2 linked regions of the Rattus norvegicus genome follow. The protein of the gene in region 2 interacts with the protein of the main gene of each other region in a pairwise test. Links are inferred from orthologs where the notes say so. Each region holds a gene or a part of one and is shown on either strand. Other genes may lie near its edges.

Evidence for each region.
Region 1: the proteins of Sptbn1 (region 2) and Sh3bp5 interact in a two-hybrid assay, tested with the Homo sapiens proteins (2 studies listed by BioGRID and IntAct). The link is inferred for Rattus norvegicus from reciprocal best matches to the Homo sapiens genes SPTBN1 and SH3BP5.

Annotation. Positions count from the first base shown.
Region 1 is NC_086034.1:6,592,411-6,595,751, reverse strand, and holds part of Sh3bp5 (SH3 domain-binding protein 5), read left to right. Parts: intron 1-1,050; coding exon 1,051-1,181; intron 1,182-1,344; coding exon 1,345-1,387; intron 1,388-2,032; coding exon 2,033-2,252; intron 2,253-3,341. UniProt on the Homo sapiens protein: Functions as a guanine nucleotide exchange factor (GEF) with specificity for RAB11A and RAB25. Inhibits the auto- and transphosphorylation activity of BTK. Plays a negative regulatory role in BTK-related cytoplasmic signaling in B-cells.
Region 2 is NC_086032.1:108,085,205-108,088,878, forward strand, and holds part of Sptbn1 (spectrin beta chain, non-erythrocytic 1), read right to left. Parts: intron 2,787-3,674; coding exon 2,628-2,786; intron 2,000-2,627; coding exon 1,697-1,999; intron 228-1,696; coding exon 74-227; intron 1-73. UniProt on the Homo sapiens protein: Fodrin, which seems to be involved in secretion, interacts with calmodulin in a calcium-dependent manner and is thus candidate for the calcium-dependent movement of the cytoskeleton at the membrane.

The DNA of each region.
Region 1 (3,341 bases), on a different chromosome or scaffold from region 2:
AAATCCAACATTGAGGAGTGTATAAACCAGACTCTGTAGCTCAGTGTGCAGCCTCTGGGACTCACTCATAATCTGGATCCAAAGGACAGTCCCCTCCGTCTCTGTCTGCTATGCACAGCTCCTGCAGGCTTGTCTCAGACTAGGTCAGAGGTCAGAGGTCAGAGGATGCCGGCGACCTGTGTGCTTCTTTACCCTCAGTTTCTAAAGTTGTCCTGTGGGTCTCTAACAGAGGGGCCAAGGACTATGGTCCACTGAGCCCCTCGTGTTCCTCCCGTTAACAGAGACTGATCTGGTGACCTTGCCTAACCTCCATGCCATTCCTCTAGTTGTGTAGAACAGTGTGGCTGTGAGTAGAAGACAGGGAAAGCAGTTGTGTGGGTTCTCTCAGATGAGGCATTAACCTGGTGCTTCATAAAGACAGGGAGAACAGCATGTCCCACACCTCTCCTTGGTGTGGGGCACTCGGGCCTCCTGCTGTTAGTTTACCAATAGGGCTAGCACCGTTTTCCCTCCAGAACTCTGCCTTTCTCTTGATGGTGAAATTTTTTCAAACCTCAAACTCTAATTTGACCGACTTTGTTTCATTTTAATTTTAACTGATTTAAGTGTAAAGTCTGACCCCTTTGCACGCTGGATTTCCTGTGCCTAGCTGATCTGAGGACTTTGGGGAAAGGCTGCCCGCTGGCTTTTCTGCGCTATGCCTGGTCTTGCTGTTCTGTTAGTTAGACAGCTCTTAGTGCTGACGGCCACTTGCCTGTCCATCAGACTGGGCCCAGGGTTCCCATAGCTTCTGCAGGCCTGAGCAGAAAAACATAGGTATTGGGTGAAGCTATTTAAAAAATTTCTCGTTTTTTATTTTTCTATTTCCTAGTCGCTGGTTTTCCAGAACAGATCAGGAAGGAAGCAGACCCTATTTTATTGAAATTTAATCTCAGTCTTCCTGTTGATTTACTCAAGGGACTTCTTGTTGTTAAATGAAGTGAGTATAGGCAGTGTAAGCCAGGAGCTGTCCTGGGCTTGACCTGCCTTGGCTCTGCTGTTGTTTGGAAGGTCATGGAGGCTGAGCAGACCAAGACACGGAGCGAGCTGGTGCACAAGGAGACAGCGGCCAGGTACAATGCCGCCATGGGCCGCATGCGGCAGCTGGAGAAGAAACTCAAGCGAGCCATCAACAAGTCCAAGTAAGTCTGTGGGGTCCCTGTCACTGAGCCTTGGGTAAGCCACTAGCTCTGCTGGAGTTTGTCACTGCCACAGCCTAAATCCTGAATGACCTGGCTAGCTGTAGTGGATGGATCTCGAATTCACGAGATCATGTTCTTACAGGATTTCTCCTGTCTTCTACAGGCCTTATTTTGAGCTAAAGGCCAAGTACTACGTGCAGCTCGAGGTATGTGGGACCTTGTATTTGTCACTAATATTTCCATCTCCACCCCTCCTCTAAAACTCAACTTTAACTCGGTAACAGGCCTTAAATGACCCGTGTGCTGTGAGGGGAGGATGGAGAAACATAAACCTAGACTTTTGTTCTCAGAGTGGTCTTGGGTGTTGTGCGCTGTCTGGAGCTATCAGCGTTCACTCTCACCCAACTGCTTGTTGTATTGTACCAACCTTTATTAGGTCTCGGTGTGAGTGCCCAAGACGAGATGCCCTAAGAGCGTTCTGGTAGAGTTCTCAGGCTCCCCACCCTGTCAGAACCTTTGGGGGTTGGGTCAGCAGTCTGCCTTGTAAATGGTCCTACAGGTAATTCAGATATGGGGCCAGGAACTTCTACTGGGGACCAAGTGAGGAGGCTGCAGCACTTCTGTCTACTGTTCCTTCCGTGAGGGCTGCACTTTATTAGCATTTAGTTCACATGGACTGGTGTCTTGAGCTGGTAGAGATTTTCTTCCCGTTGAATGGGTAGCCATGAGTGAAAGCCATTGGACCCTTTAGTCAATTGTCTTGGGTGTCTCAGGAAGTTCTTTGTGTTGTAATCACGTGCAGCCCCTCCAGGGCCACTTTGGCTTACCGCGTCCCCCATCTTCCAATTCAGCAACTGAAGAAGACAGTGGATGACCTTCAGGCCAAGCTGGCCCTGGCGAAAGGCGAGTATAAGGCAGCCCTGAAGAGCCTGGAGAGGATCTCGGATGAGATACACGAGCGGCGGCGCTCCAATGCCATGGGGCCTCGGGGCTGTGGCGTGGGGGCAGAGGGCAGCATCACCTCAGTGGAGAACCTGCCTGCAAGCAAGCCTGAGCCTGATGCCATTTCCGGTGAGTCTGACGAGCAGGAATCAGTGTGTGTGTGACGTCTGCTTTCTATGGTCCCTGTCCTTTGCCCACCACACATGAATTGGAGAGTTTTGTTCTCACGTGGGACAGTGCTCCTGAGACCGCTACTGAGTATTAGCATTCTGTGGTCCGGTAAGACTGGGAAATGTTCCCCCTCCACCCCCTCAGGCAGTCTAAGTACACATTGGAACATCCAGGGCTTTAAGACGTTGTGAGGAAAGATTTAATAGGGACTTAGGATCCAGATTTGATCCAGGTCCCATTTCACTAGTGGTATGAGACAGAGGAGCCCTGACGTGTTCGCTGCTTCAGCTGCATAATGAGGCTGGGGTCCGCTGTGTCACAAGGGTGCTGAGGAGCCACGGGGGTCTGACCACACGGTCTCCTCTGTTCAGGATCCCTGTGCAAGGATCGGCTTAGAAAACTACTGTCTCCAGCTTTTCCTTTCCCGCGCTTCTGAGGCTCCTTCGTCAGCAATTCTTTTTTTCTTTTCCTTATTACTATCATGTTTTAAATAATTTCTGGGCATGAGTGATTTTCCCACGTGTATCTATGTATACACACGACTGCCTGATGTCAGAAGGGGACACTGGATCCTCTGGAATTAGTTATTAGCTGCCACGTAAGTGCAGGAAATCAAACCTGGGTCTCTGGAAGGGCAGCAGGTGCTTAACCATTGAGCCATCCCTGGCTCCACCCCCAGCCGTGCTTAAAGGCCATCAACAGGTGCTGAGCTGCCAGGTTGAAGGGAAATGAGACTACTGTGATCAATGATTATGTATGAGTTACTGTGCCCATCACCTCACTAATCCTGTACACAGAGCTTCATGAGCTGAGTAACTCACAAGGCCACACGGTCAGCAGTGGACTTAGATATGAGTTCAGCTCTGCACCCACTTCCTGCCTCAGTGGCACAGTAACAATCCTCTCTGGTTGCTAGGCCATGTTTAAAGACATCACAGACATAATGGGAACTAGGAAGGATCTTAAAAATGAGAGTGCAGGCTGAAGAGGCTTTTTCCGTTTCTAAGCTTTGGTTATTCTGCCCACAAATCGGCTCAGCTAGAGCAC
Region 2 (3,674 bases):
ACACCATGTTTGTAGTTCATGAAGATATATTTCCGTTGTTGAGGTGATAACGCCTAGAGCAGTCCATTCTTACCTTCCCCATCTGTTGCGAACTTCTGGGCAGAGGCATTCACACCTCTCACACGTTCTGCTTGGATTGCAATGTCTGCTTCAACCAGGGCATGCTTCTGTAACAAGTCTTCAACACCGAGCAAGTGTTTGCCATAGTCCTGAGACAGCAATAGCACCTGTGCACAAATGGGACAGAAAGGACACCCGTGAATACAACTGACTCCAGTGTGTCAGCGTCTTTGGACGAGCAGATTTAGCATCCTGGCCGACCTTTCCTCTGATCTGTCACTAGCCAACTTGGGCAAGACCATCCAAGTAAGTCAGAACACAACAAACGTGAGGCCTAGATCAGGAGAGACACAATGAACTAAGGATAACGTATCTTGGCAAAAGCAAATAAAATCCACATTAAAAAAACACAGAATAAAAGGGGGGAGGGTCCCTTAGAGCCTTTATGCTAATTATATAATCAATAGGAAAATCTACTTATCTTGGCATCTACTTGTATGCCAACAAGGAGACCATGGTCAGGTAAACATCATCATTTTGAACTTACTGAAATTTTCTTGTTCTTCATTCAACTTGCAAATTTTTCTCCCATCTACCAATCCACAACACTCTCAGATAAAATTTCTATTTCATTCTTGACAATTCTCAGGAAACTATGTTACCCTGAATTATAGTGCATATTATGATTCATAAAGTGAAAATCACATCTTTGATATACTTTATGAATACTTCTATTTTAAGAGGTCAAAGATCAAACCTAGTAGCATTTGTACATGTGGGGCAATAGCAGAGAGAAACTGAATCATCAGCTGACCTTGTCTCTCTGTCACCATAGCTCAAGAGGCAAGGAACAGGTAAAGACTGACATCCAGGGGCAGAGTTCTCTTACATAAGAAACACAGTGTTCTGAGAGAAAAGAGGATGGTCTAAACATTATTCTCTTCTGTTCTTAGGGATAAAACCCTTCAAGCTCAGAAACTGCTCAATAAAGATGGTGCCCTATGGTCTGCAACAAAAGAAACCAGCAGGCACAGGGCTGTGACACAATGGCTGACTTTAGGCTCAGAAGTGCCAGGGATAGAGGAGAAAGCACAAAGCAGCACCACAGCCATTACCATTCAGCCCCACAGCAACCTGTACATATCTTAGCACAACCCCAGCTTCCGAGAGCCACAAGGCAAGCGTTAGTATTGGCTCCATAAAAAGACGAAGAAGTTGGTTTGAAGAAGAGGAAGTGATACGGCAACAAGATCTGAATTCTGGCTTCCTAGCTCCTGGCCTGCACTTACCACCACCCTCCCATCTGCATACATGATCCTAGAACAGTATCACCGCTACTCAGACCACTAAACATACTAACAATGAAAAGGAAAATCACAATGATTCTCTACGTTGGTATGCACTTAACAGTGATCGAAATCACGGCAACAGATCTGGACTATATAAAGTGGTCTTTTTCACAACTTTTCCATGCCACTCATCTCATTAGGTCATGAGCTAGGCAGCTTAAAAGCACTGTGGTCTCAGTCTGGCTTTGCAAAAGAATGCAGGAGACAAAGGGGACCAGTGCCACCACAAAGAAAAGGTGTGACAGAATCAGCTCTGGCCTCCCTGCTTTCTTTTGGTCAAACGTTACCTTCATTTCATCCATCCAGTCCATAATATAAAGCATTTCCTGGAATATCTTTTGCAGTCCCAGGTTCATCTCAAGACGCTGCCTCCTGGCCCTGAGCAGTTCCAGCAAGTACTCCCAGAGGCGGATGACATTGTCCTTCCTCGCTGTGATGCGCTTGATGTCATGATAGCTCTCTGCTTCAAGCTCCCTGGCCACAGCCACCACAGCCTGCACTCGCTCTTCATACGCCGCAATGTCAGTCTCGATGGCCTCATGTTTTTTGGTGGCGGCCTCAACTGCAGGAAGGTCAAATCCAAAGTTGTCCTACAGAGACAGAGAACAAAAAGAAACATAAGTCACCTAAACGGGGGTGGGGTGGGGAGATGGCAGGCCTGGGGTGGGTAACATAGTACGTAAGCTGACTCTGCCTCTTGAGTCTCCTATGCCACTAGTTTCTCACTGCCCTAGGACCTTACAAACTTCTGGTTGAGTTCAGATGTGTTCCTAACAGTATATAAGCAGCTTCTCACTTTACAGAGCACCGACCACCTGACTTAAGATACTGAAGTTGGTAGGACTTTGTCAAGCCAAGGGAAAGTAAGTTGGCTCTTGTATTTCATGACCAGTGTCATGCCCTGAGGACGGTTGGTCAAACGCTGAGGGACAAGCATGAGGGGAACTTTTAAAGCTTACAGGAATGTGAATGATTCATAGTGACAGGCTCTGAACAAACTGCTGGAGCTCCTTCCAAGTCTATGACAAGTTAGACAAACAGACAAGAAAGTTTATCAGAAATTTTAAACATCCTCTTTGTGCAAAGGGAAGTGACTGGCTGGTCAGCAACTTCACAATACTGGATATTAAGTGCTATCCTGAGCTCCAAGGCCTCTTGGGGAGGGCTAGTGCTTCTTGGCTACCTCAGAAAACCTTGCATTAGTAATTTAGACAGAACCTGAGAGACAAGACGCTGGTTTTCGCTCAGCCATGTCTCTCTCATAGCTGCCTTGCGATCGAATCTGCGGGCAAGTTGTTCCAGTTTTTCCTGCCGTATGAGCTCATTCCGCAGAGCCAGTTCTCTCTCATGTTCTGCTTTTTCCAGTCTTTCCCAGGCCTGCAGAAGTTAAAAAAAACAAAAACAAAAAAAACCAAAAACAACAAAAAACAAAACAAAACAAAACAAAACAAAACAAAACAAAACATGGTTTCCGGCAACATTTAAGGAGCTGTCCTTGACTACAGCAACAGCTAGTATTTGTCCAAAGGATCACAGGACTTGAAAGGGAAATCCCATTTCCACCCTTGAGAAAAAGATCTTTTTCTCCCTCAGCATAGCCTCATGGGAACACCCTCTTGTCAAAGCTCAAAGATCCTGCTATAAACTTGGAAACAAACACTTTCTGGTTAAGGGGCAACACAATATCTTCTAAGTAGCTCTCATCACATAAAAGAAATAAACTGACTTTCCTCAGGGCAAATATATTAGGAATCTCTCATTCACTCCACCCAGAGCCATATTTTAAAAAATTCACATGCCTGAATTTTTCTTTCAAAATCTCCGGAAAATGTCTTACTTAATGTTTTTTAAAAAATGCCAATCACTGGACGCTCAAAGGATGCAAATGTATCAAAGGATACAAATGAACAGTTCTACATTTTTTTTCTAGTTTGTATTTGGAAATAATAGCCACAGTACAAGTCTGTACTTGCAGGCGTACGAGGCACAACAATGGAAACAGCCTGTCTAACAACTTCTCAGATGGAGAGAAACAACGGCTATGTCCACAACCTGCAGACATTCCAAGCATGTGGAATCAGATTTCCAGTTTCTTTCTATGCAACAGGAAGACATCTGAATTGAGTGCTTCACACAGATGAGGATTAAAACTGAGTATCTGGGTAACAAGGTAAACCGTGAGCCAAGGCTGTTAACGAAGTCTTAACACTGCATGCAGAGCTCCAGTGGACTGACCTATTATTACAACTCTTTGCTGGACCTTCT